Canis lupus familiaris: one gene and its partners. The protein of the gene in region 1 interacts with the protein of each later gene in a pairwise test. Links are inferred from orthologs where the notes say so. Each region holds a gene or a part of one and is shown in the gene's direction. Other genes may lie near its edges. The genes, in order: VENTX, DAB1 and TBX15.

Region 1 (4,224 bases):
GGTGGGACCAGGACGCAGAGTCCCGGCACCTGTCGTGTCCACCGGGAGGGCGCCCCTGGAGCCGCGCACAGGACGGGGGGTCCGCAGTGCTGACCCCATCCCCGGTCCGAGAGCCGCGCAGCCCCCACCAGCTGGGCCTCGGTCCCCAGGGGCAGGACGGCGTCCGAGAGCAGGGGCCTCTCCGTCCAGGTCCAGGCCAGCACCGCCGCCCGGGACGCGGCCACCGGCGGACCACTGCGCTGACTCGGAGGCGTCAGGCCCCCTGACCCTTCCCGGCGGGGTCAGCGCCGCCGTTCCCGCTGTGCCCGCCGGAGGGCGGCCGGGGGTGTTAATCCGGGCCCAGCCGGAGGGGCCTTTGATCCCACGGTCCCGCCCAGGCTGGCGCCAGCGCCCCCAGGAGTCGGCCGGTGGGCTAGGGCCACCACACCCAGGGGGCGGGCGTGGGGGGGTGGGGGCTCCGGGCTGCCCCAGGTCACCCTGGACGCCGAAGGCGCTGGCCCTCGGTCCCGTCCTGCAGAAAGTGGTGGTGGCGAGCAGCGGAGGTGGGAGGGGGCTGGGTCCCCGGAGAGAGGACAGGCCTTGAACCCGGGCTGCCGCGTCCCTGGCGGCTCTGGGCCCCGCTGGGCAGTGGGGCGGCCCTTCTCGGCAGCACCGGGCTGCTCCATCCCTCCCGCTGGGTCGTCCGGGAGCAGCAGGGCGGGGCCGCACTCCTGAGGGCAGACACCCCTCCTTCCTGCCACTGCAGAGTGGAGGCGGGGGTGGGGGCGCCGAGTACCGTCTGAGAGGGAAGGGCCGGTGGGTGCTCCCCGGGCAGCAGCACCCACCCTGCCCTACGTTCCTCCCCCCGCCGGACAGCCTGAGGCAGCGGCACCTGCTCTGGGAGCCCCCACCCCCGCCGGTGATGCTGCTCCCCCTCCGGGAAGCATGCCCTCCCTCAGGTGGGCACACCTGCCGCCTTCGGCACCGCAGACCCCGCGGGCTGGAGAGGAGGCGGCTCCTCACCCCGAAGGACAAGCCTCCAGCTTGGGTGCTCAGCTGGGAGGGGCCACCCGGTGGGGGTGGGGGATGAAAGGACGTGACCAGCCTCCGCCCGGGCTCAGCCCCGCCCCGCCGCAGACATCTCGGAGCCGGGGGAGGTGTGAATGGCCTCCTTTGTGCCTCTGAATCGAAGGCAATTAGGTGCTACTTATCTGGGGGTGGGCGAGGCTCTGAGCGGCTACGCAGGCCGGCCTCCCACCCGCCTCCTCCGGAGCTTATAAACGCTAAGGCGGCGGACGACCTGGTGCCTTAGCCGCCGTCGGTGCTGCGGGGACCCTGTGCGTCACCCCCTCTGTCCTGTGAGCAGCCATGTCTCCGTCCCCTCCCCTGCCCAGCGGCCGCGGGCCGTCCAGCTTCGGCTCGGTGGACTGGCTTTCCCAGAGCAGCCGCGGGGGGCCGTCACCGCCCTCCAGGCCCGCTGAAGCCCCTCGGGGGGGTCCCTCCGCTCCCGCCAGGGGGTGCAGCAGCGGGGAGCCCCTGCACGGTGCGGGCGTGGAGGAGGCCAAGTCTTCAGAAGCGTGTGCGCCCCGGACGCCCACGGCTGGTAAGGCTGGGGCGGGGGGTGCCTCCCTTCGCAGATGGGAGCCGGGAGGGTTGGGGGGAGGCCTGGACTACAAAGCCACGGGGGCGGGGTCTCCTGTCTTTAGGCCCCCTGGGGCTCCCCACCCCCACGTCCTGGAAGGGCTGGCGTGTGGCCCTGAGCCGTGACACGGTCATTTCGCACCGTGGGGGACCCGGGCTTCCGGCGTGCGGTCGGCCGTCGGGGCTGGACACGCACGTCCTGAAGCTCACAGAGCCCGCCCACTGGGCGCCCAGGCCTCGGGACTCCGGCCCGTTGGCGGTGCACCGGCGGCCCTGCGGGGTGGCTCGGGGCGCCCTGCTGTCTGCACCTGGGAGCTCCGGGCCTCGGCTGCAGGGCGTCCCCCTGACCCCTTGCCGTTCACTGCGGAGCGTTTCTCGGTCTTTGTGACGTAATCATTGCTTTTAGGTTTAAAGCCCTGCGTGGTCAGGGCAGCCCGGGTGGCTCAGGGGTTTGGCGCCGCCTTCGGCCCAGGGTGTGATCCTAAAGTCCCGGGATCGGGTCCCACGTCAGGCTCCCCTCATGGAGCCTGCTTCTCCCTCTGCCTGTGCCTCTGCCTCTGTCTCTCTCTCTGTGTCTCTCGTGAACAGATGGATAGGATCTTAAAAAAAAAAAAAAAAAAAGCCCTATGTGATCAAAAGTGGGATTGATGTTATCTGTTAAATTCATTTTTTTTAAGATTTATTTATTTATTCATGAGAGACAGGCAGAGGGAGAAGCAGGCTCCATGCAGGGAGCCCGATGCGATCTCGATCCCAATTCCGGGATCGCGATCTGAGCCAAAGGCAGGCGCCCCTGTTAAGTTCATTTTTGAACGAGTTTGATCTTAGGGGAAAATGCTATACTTCAATGAAGTTAAATTCTACGTTTATTCTCTGCAACCAGTGCCCCCTCCCCAACAAAACCCAGCCAGTCATCCCTGCGCCCCGACCCCTTACACCCTGCCCCCGCCCCCTCCGAAGCAAGGGTCGCTCCTCTGGTCCCCTGCCTGCTTCCAGGGAAGTGTTAAAGTCATTGGTAAGCTCTGCTCCCCCCACACCAGCACTAGAGCCCGTTGGCATTTGGGTGAGGCCCGACCAGGTAGCCGAGCTCCGCACACCAGCGCTCGCGCCTCCCGCCGCCTCCCGGCGGACACACGGGCGCCGGGGGACACTGCTTGAGTGTCTGACTCTTGGTTTCGGCCCAGATCCTGATCCCGGGGTCGGGCTCCAAGCTCAGCAGGGAGTCTGCCGGACGCCCCAAGGGAAGGAAATCTTAAATCAATAAAAAAGGACTAGACGCAGACTTGCCAGAGCTTCACGTTGGGGGCGGGCAGCCTGGGGGCACCGCCGTCCTGGGCGAAACTGCTGGGGGGCTGCAGAGCTGTTCGCCAGGCGCCCTCCTCGCCCTGACCCCAGCCCACACTCCAGCCGGCAGAGGAGGGGCCTGCGCCCTGACGCACTGGGTGCTGAGGCCCCTCTATCCCGCGTGGGCCGACGGCTGGGCTGATGGCGTTTGATGGCGTTTGATGGCGTTTCCGTCCTCCCTCAGGGTGGGGCAGGGACGGGGACGGCCTGCGGGTGCCCCGCGTGCGCACGGCCTTCACCGCAGAGCAGCTCAGCACCCTGGAGAGCGCCTTCCGGCGGCGCCGCTACCTGGGCCCCCTGGAGCGCCGGCGCCTGGCCCGTGACATGCGGCTCTCTGAGGTGCAGGTGAGCCTCTCGGGGCTGCAGGCGAGGTTTGGGGGTGCAGGTGAGGCTCTCGGGGCTGCAGGCGAGGCTCTCGGAGCTGGAGGTGAGGCTCCGGGCGGCAGGTGAGGCTCGGGGTTGTAGGCAAGTCTCTCAGGCTGCAGGCGAGGCTCAGGGGTGCAGGTGAGGCTCAGGGGTGCAGGTGAGGCTCTCAGGGCTGCAGGTGAGGCTCTTGGAGGTGCAGGTGAAGTTCAGGGCTGCAGGTGAGGTTCGGGGCTGCAGGCGAGGCTCTCCAGGGGTGCAGGTGAGTTTCTTGGGGTGCAGGCAAGGTTCTTGGGGTGCAAGCAAGGCTTGGGGCTGCAGGCGAGGCTCTCGGGGGTTACAGGTGAGGCTCAGGGGTGCAGGCGAGGCTCTCGGGGCTGCAGGTGAGGTTCTCGGGGGTGCAGGTGAGGCTTTTGGGGGTGCAGGCCAGGCTCTCCGGGGGTGCAGGTGAGGGGGGCCGGGCCTGGTGGGGGGCAGCTGTTCCCGTCCCTGCTCTGATGGAGGTTTCCCCGCAGATAAAAACCTGGTTTCAGAATCGCCGGATGAAACACAAACGCCAACTGCAGGACTCGCAGCTGAGCAGCCCCTTCCCCGGGGGGCTCCACCCTCCAGTGACCTTCTGCCCTCCGCCCCCTGCCCTGCGCAGGCCACTGCGGCTGCTGTGTCCTTGGGCGCCCCCACTGGGGCCTCCAGCTCTGGGGCAGCCCCCTGGCCCCTTCTGGGATCTCTGCCGGGTGGATCGAGCCTCCGTGGCCTTGGCGTGGGCCTCGTGCAGCAGACAGCCTCCCACGTGCTGCCTCCCGGACCCGGGGGGCCAGGAGCTGGGCCCGGCCTTGGCCTTGTCCGGGGTGCCCCGGGGCCTGTGTGCCCTGCCCCAGACCGGGGATGCCTTCTGAG
Region 2 (3,647 bases), on another chromosome or scaffold:
AGACAGTATTTTTTGCCCATTTCACAGATGAGGAGAGAGAGCCCGAGAGAGCTTGTGGAGCTCTCCCTAAACTCCGTAGATAAGAAGCAGAAGAACTCCAAATTTTAACCTAGACCTCAACATCCCCGATACTCTGATTCTTCTTCCCTCAGCACATGTTTTCCATGCTGAAAAGGAAGATCTTATAACCTGGCTTTCTAACCAAGAGCTTGAGGTTTAGAAAGTTTAAGTGTTTGGTCTAGCCAGAAGGGGAGGCAAGATTCAAACCCAAATGTACCCGATGTCTAGTACTCTACCTTTTCCACTGAGACACACCAGCGCCTGAGGCTGTGTGGAGTCAGAAACCTTTAATTATAGCAATATTATCATTATCTCCCAAACACCTGCCCGGCTTGCTCGCTCACTGCATTCTAGTTTTGCTTATGAGTCCCCTTCTTAGGTTTCTCCAGACCGTGGCTCTGGAAGGAACACTCCATTGAAAGCCAGAACTTTCATCTTACTCATCTTTGTGGCCCGGGTCTCTAGCACAGAGCCTGGAACGTAACAACTGCTCAGTATCTTTCTGCCGATCACCTGAATCCATGAATTATTCTTTCCCAGGGTACATGACTCATCTTTCTCACCCTTCCAGGTTATGTTGCAATGGGCGCCGTCCTCCCATCCTTCTGGGGCCAGCAGCCCCTCGTCCAACAGCAGATCGCCATGGGTGCTCAGCCACCAGTCGCTCAGGTGATGCCGGGGGCTCAGCCCATCGCATGGGGCCAGCCGGGTCTCTTCCCTGCCACTCAGCAGCCCTGGCCAACTGTAGCCGGGCAGTTTCCGCCAGCCGCCTTCATGCCCACACAAACTGTTATGCCTTTGCCAGCCGCCATGTTCCAAGGTCCCCTCACCCCCCTTGCAACCGTCCCAACCACGGGTGACTCCACCAGGTCAAGTCCACAGACCGAGAAGCCCAGACAGAAAATGGGGAAAGAAATGTTTAAGGATTTCCAGATGGCCCAGCCGCCACCCGTGCCCTCCCGCAAACCCGACCAACCCTCCCTCACCTGTACCTCAGAGGCCTTCTCCAGTTACTTCAACAAAGTCGGGGTGGCACAGGATACAGATGACTGTGACGACTTTGACATCTCCCAGTTGAATTTGACCCCTGTGACTTCTACCACACCATCAACCAACTCACGTGAGTGCCCTTCTTGGGAGACCTAACTCCAATGAGAGCGATGCCTTGTTTCTGGAGTCACAGAACTCATCTCAGTTCACATTCAGCAGGCATCTTGGTTTATATGACTACTACTAATAATAGCTACCAGTTATGAGGTGCCAATTATACATATCTACCTCGTAACCATTGTTTTCATACTTTTATACTCATAACAATGCTTATTACAGGTTTTGTTAGACCTGTCTGACCAATAATGAGAGTGAGGTTCAAGGACAACGAGAGTAGTTATTTTCCTACCAGTCACTCTGCTTCTAATGTTTTTGTTGATCTGCTCATCTATCCATCCATTCATTCATTATCCCTCCTTATGACACAGATTTTGGTACGGCTTGTTGAAATGGAAATGAATAGTGAATATGAATTTTAAAAGTCTGGGAAATAAGGACAAAAATTAGAGTAGAAAACTAAAATCAAGAGAAAACTTACGGGAAAGAAAGAGCAGCCATAAGATCTCATCCAGCTGGTTTAGTTGAAGCCAGATTTTGGCTCAGGGCTTTGGGTCGTCAAAGAGAAAAAAATGGTAGTGAAGCAGAAATCTCTAGACTGGGAACCTAGAGAGCAGATTTATCACTTCCTAGTTTTGTGCCTATCGGCAAGTCATTTTTGTGAGCCTCAATTTCCTCATCTATCTTAGCCTAAGAGAGATTACAAGGATCAGTGGTACATGTACTGAAACATTGTATACATCACAAATTTTAAGGTATTTTTGTCACCATTATGAATGCATATTGAATAGTTCTGTGTCAAATCCCTGGACCAGAGTTCCAACCTTTGCTCTTCTACCACAAGCTGTGTCTTTGGCCATGTGTGTGACTTTCTTAACCCCAGCTGTGTCATGGGTGAAATGCATTGAGTTGGCTTGGATGATGAGGAGTGTACTTCCTTCTAGTTCAGGCACTCAGTGATTCTTTCCAGATCACTTTTCTACTGTAAGCATCCAAAAAGCCATGACCATGCAGCCAATCAGAATCTAGATACACTTGAGCACACATATGCTCAGAAAAGTGACTGGTAATTCAGCCCATGCCTTTGACAATTGATAGGGAAAAGCAAAAGTCTCATGGAACAATGAGTTTGGCGTTTTCATTACTGTCACAGATGATAGGGATCACTGCTTGGCCAATAGTGAGAATTGTCAAAAAATCTAATGTTAACACAATTAGGTGGTGTTATTTCATCCAGGTTCAGAAGGCAGTTATGAAAATGAATGCCTTTTATGTGTATAAACAACCTACTTCTACTCAGGCCATGTGATCTCCATATGAGGGCATCTCTATTAGCTCCACGTCACAGGGTTTCAGTGAAAAATAATGAATAAAAAATGAAATGCTGGGGGAATGAGAGCCATGCATAAATAAGCAAGCATCTTTTGAAAGCAAGTGTCTCTCTTTCAATGGACTTGCATGCCAGCTATAAATAAAAGGGAAGTTTCAGTTCTTTGAGGACAGGACATATGTCCTAATCACCCGTCTACTTCTTCTAATGCTAGCATAGCATCTAGCGTGTGGGAGACATTTGGGAAAAATCGTAGAGATTGAAATGAACAGAACAAAGGCCATTCAGCTGTGGCTGTGTTTTACAACCTGGGCTTTATTGATATTTGGGGCCAGATAATTCTTTGTTGTGGGGTGTGTGTTGTGCTTATAGGATGATGAGCAGCATCCCTGCCTCCACCCACTAGATGCCAGAAATACATGTCCTGTCCCCTGAGTCTTTATAGTCAGAAATGACCCAAGAAAAAAAGAAAAAAAAAAAAGAAATGACCCAAGATACTGTGAAATGTCTCCTAGGATTTAAATTGCACCATTAAAGAACCACTCTTTTAGATTATTCAGGTATTCTAGAAGAGCCTTCTAAAGGCTAAGACACTTACATAAATGAACCTCTAATTATGCTTCCAAATGACTTCATCTGATAAGTAGGACCGGTACACCTCTCAGACTGGCACCTCAGCCTGTGTTCTCGGCCTCTAGTAAGCAATAAGCCACTTCAAACACAATTTGGAATCCAGTTACGCCAACATTTATTCATTAGCTGTTGGAAATCAGGGTGTTCTCACTTAAACCTGCTAGAACTAGTCTGTTCCATAATCATCTCATAAAACAGACTTCCTTTTAAATTAAAAAAAATAATGTTCTATTGTAAAGAAAATGAGTAAAAACAGTAATTATATCCTTCTATCCATGAGCATCACCTTCAGAATGTTTTGAGTGGAGTTTTTTCATCAGTTGGAACAAAAATCTACGTCAAATTGACATAGACCTCACAGCTGGCCCGACAGTGTAGACAGAGCTGTATTAAATCCCAACACTCCTATTCCGTGGTGCTGGTGACCCTGAGAAAGTCCCTTCACCTTTCAGGGCTGCAGTTTCTTCATCAGGAAAGAAAAATAGGTCCCACACCACTTTGCAGTATGTGTAAATAC
Region 3 (3,647 bases), on another chromosome or scaffold:
AATTTAAAAACATCTAACCTTTTTTCTTGGAATCATGAAGGAAAGAAATTCATCTCTTGCAGTGTAACACATCCTATGTAGATAGCTGAGAGGAACCACATTTTATTACCTCAGATAGCAAGTGAGAGGACTTTCTCTCTATCCCTGTTAAGGTATTCTCCAACCATTTATAAATACAAGGCAGTCATAAGTCATTGTTATTAAGAAAGGAATTACTGGTTTAAATGTAAATATATATAGACCAATGTTCCCAAGTTTTTGGAAAGAATTAATGTGGATTCTAGTGCCTAACCTATAGTGAATGCTAGATTTAATCATTATGAGAAATCCACCATTGAATTTCATTATCTCACCATAAGACAAAAATATAAGGCTTTGTAATTAAACTTGTGAGGCTAGAGGTAGAATATCCAGAATTATATACCAATAGAAGCTTCTGAGAAGTTATAAAGTAGGAAAGAAGGAATGGTTGTATATTATTATTTGGTAATATTTAAGAATTAGCCATCATTCCCATTAAGTTTTTGTGTTCCCCCCCACTCGCCACCTGGATATGATTATGCCACTAACCTACTACCACAGGACATTTGCATGTTGAGTTGCTTCCAGTGAGCAATGCAGTGTGTGACTAGCACAGAAAGCCCCATGTGTAAACAACTAGGGCACATATGCAAGATGGCTGTCTGGGGTCAGAGTATGGTCTATGGCCGTGAAATGGAGCAAAGCCAATTAGGCTGTATGTGGATCAAGCCTGTGACCTTGACCTCATTAGCACTGTGCCCTGCCCAGCTCAACTAACTGGCCCCAGATGGTTAAGCTTAATGCAGCATTTTGTGTACAAGTACCCTAGAACACATTCATGCAATCCAAATTTTTGAACTGAGCACTTTTTATGTCTGACTCCAAAATGAATGACATACAAAAGAGCTTGATGTTTTTCTACTTTTTTATGGTTAAAGAAAAATGGAGAATTTTATTCTAGACCCTTGAAACTCAATACTCTTCTGGGTTGCTCTCTCTCCTCCTCTTCAATTATGAGAGTAGTTGTAAAGTGCCGTATCCTGACCTCGCTTGCTTTGGCAAGTTTAACAAGCCATTGTGGTAGAAACAAGGTATTGCCCAGAGGCCACTAGAATTCATTTGGTATTCGCTCCTTATTCCACAGGGTCCTCTTCTGACACATATGTTGACAGCCTGAGAACTTGCAGAAATTTTTCTACAGTTTTATGCTTAAAAAACCCTGCAACTTTGTTGGTACTTTGGAGATTGATAGTCTCTTCCTTTTTTCTTCTTTTCTTGAGAGACTACTTTTAAATAGACTCAACCAATCAAAAATATTTCATCATCACCTACAATCAACTGTGATAAGCTACTTGAGTCATAAGAACATAAGTTACTCAAATATGTTAAGTGTAAGAGTGTAAGCATTTTCAAGAATATTATAATCTGATAGGAAATGTATGTATAAATACACATACATTATCAATCTAATCACATTAAAGGTTAATAATATAAATCAGGGCATGGTAGGAGCTCTTGGAAGTGTGTGAGTCATCAAGTAGGTCAATTTAAGTTAAGAAGAGGTGCCATTTCCACTCTGCACTGAGCAAAATGACTAGAAGGAAAAACTCACCTCAAAAGAAAGAATCAGAAACAGTCCTCTCTCCCACAGAGTTACAAAATTTGGATTACAATTTAATGTCAGAAAGCCAATTCAGAAGCACAATTATAAAGCTACTGGTGGCTCTAGAAAAAGCATAAAGGATTCAAGAGACTTCATGACTGCAGAATTTAGATCCAATCAGGCAGAAATTAAAAATCAATTAAATGAGATGCAATCCAAACTAGAGGTCCTAACGACAAGGGTTAACGAGGTAGAACGAGTGAGTGATATAGAAGACAAGTTGATGGCAAGGAGGGAAACTGAGGAAAAAAGAGAAAAACAATTAAAAGATCATGAGGATAGGTTAAGGGAAATAAATGACAGCCTCAGAAGGAAAAATCTAAGGTTAATTGGGGTTCCCGAGGGCACTGAAAGGGACAGAGGTCCAGAATATGTATTTGAACAAATCATAGCTGAGAACTTTCCTAATTTGGGAAGGGAAACAGGCATTTAGATTCAGGAAATAGAGAGACCCCCCCCCCAAATCAATAAAAGCCGCTCAACACCTCGACATTTAATAGTGAAACTTGCAAATTCCAAAGATAAAGAGAAGATCCTTAAAGCAGCAAGAAGAGGTGCCATTTCAGTGAGTCCTCAGCATATTTTATAGTAATAATTTCCAAAGTGTAAAAAAGCAGGCAACTTTGAGAATTGGAGGAACTGGACTTTGGTTTGCTTATCATTCTTCATAAGAAGAAGCTCTCCAAGCCTTTACTCCTGCTCCTTCTCCCTCTGTGATTGTTGAGCTTACTGCCTATTCCCCTTTATAGGAGGATGTTTCCTGCCATGAGAGTGAAAATCACTGGCCTGGATCCACACCAGCAGTATTACATAGCAATGGACATTGTGCCTGTGGACAATAAAAGATACAGGTAATGATGACTCTGGGATGTGGAATTGTGGACATTACCATTCCAAGGTAATTCCATTATCATTCCAAGACAGTTCTTTAAACTCCTTAGATGAAGTATTTTAACAATGCACTGTATCGTATACTATATAGGGAACAAGGATGGAGGAAGTACCAATAGCTTGTAGCAAAGCATCATGTAGGAAGTAGTCACTCATGGTTGGAAATCAGGACTTAGTAATCATTTGGTATGGAACCCTCCCCATCTCTGTAGAGAGTGGGATTGTATAGTGTCTGTCAGGGTTGCAAAAATCAATGGATTTAGACTTTATGGATTAAGTCTAAAGTTAATTCAGTTCACATTGAAAGTGATTAACACATTGAATGATTTGGTTTATGAAATGCTAAGTGAGTTGAGATGATTTATTTTGGAGAGGCAGAGGAGAAGTGGACCAGTGCAGTATATTCAATCATATAACTGATGGATTATCTTGTGGATGATGGAAGGGAAGAAGAGGAGAATTGGGTAAGATTTCAAGAAGGACACTTAGTGAAGCAGAATTATTGCTTATCAATATGGGTTGTGAGTGAGTTGTTAAATAACTTTCCTTCAAAGTCATTATAGTAAGTGTCCAACACAATGTCTATGTCTCTTGGATGGGTTATACATCAGTCTTATTTGAAACAAGTTGTGGCTTAACCAATCTCTTGAGATTTCAATCAGATCAGTGAATCATGTCTTATTCTTGAAATATTTGAGAACTTGGTGCTAGCTCTATGAATTAGGAGGGGAGAGATGAATGAATGAATGAATGAATGAATGGGAAATGCCAGCACTAGTATGGCAGAGGGAGAGAGCTGATTAAGAGAGAAGTGATCTGGATGCAGGACTTAGGACAAGAGATGCTTCCAATCAATTTTAGAGGATCTTGTGATTTGGACTGAGTGCCTCTGTTTGCTAGCATCCAGATCCTGTGTGGTTCTTTGTTAGTGAGAAGCAAGGAGGTGACAAATCCATAGAGAACTCTCTTTAGAACTGCAGGGCAATTGACAAACTCCAGAAAACTGACCTCCTTTGCTACTAACATCATATCACTTCCAGTGGCTTTGTGGGAGAATGTGGATGATGGTGAT

Evidence for each region.
Region 2: the proteins of VENTX (region 1) and DAB1 interact in binary tests that used the Homo sapiens proteins (3 or more experiments, as listed by UniProt). The two-hybrid records come from large-scale screens. The link is inferred for Canis lupus familiaris from reciprocal best matches to the Homo sapiens genes VENTX and DAB1.
Region 3: the proteins of VENTX (region 1) and TBX15 interact in binary tests that used the Homo sapiens proteins (3 or more experiments, as listed by UniProt). The two-hybrid records come from large-scale screens. The link is inferred for Canis lupus familiaris from reciprocal best matches to the Homo sapiens genes VENTX and TBX15.

The regions. Positions count from the first base shown.
Region 1 is NC_049249.1:41,347,767-41,351,990, forward strand, and holds the start of VENTX (homeobox protein VENTX), read left to right. Parts: upstream 1-1,347; coding exon 1,348-1,582; intron 1,583-3,148; coding exon 3,149-3,309; intron 3,310-3,842; coding exon 3,843-4,223; 3' UTR 4,224-4,224. UniProt on the Homo sapiens protein: May be involved in ventralization.
Region 2 is NC_049226.1:52,848,281-52,851,927, forward strand, and holds part of DAB1 (disabled homolog 1), read left to right. Parts: intron 1-631; coding exon 632-1,180; intron 1,181-3,647. UniProt on the Homo sapiens protein: Signaling adapter of the reelin-mediated signaling pathway, which regulates the migration and differentiation of postmitotic neurons during brain development.
Region 3 is NC_049238.1:56,654,906-56,658,552, reverse strand, and holds part of TBX15 (T-box transcription factor TBX15), read left to right. Parts: intron 1-2,433; coding exon 2,434-2,535; intron 2,536-3,647. UniProt on the Homo sapiens protein: Probable transcriptional regulator involved in the development of the skeleton of the limb, vertebral column and head. Acts by controlling the number of mesenchymal precursor cells and chondrocytes.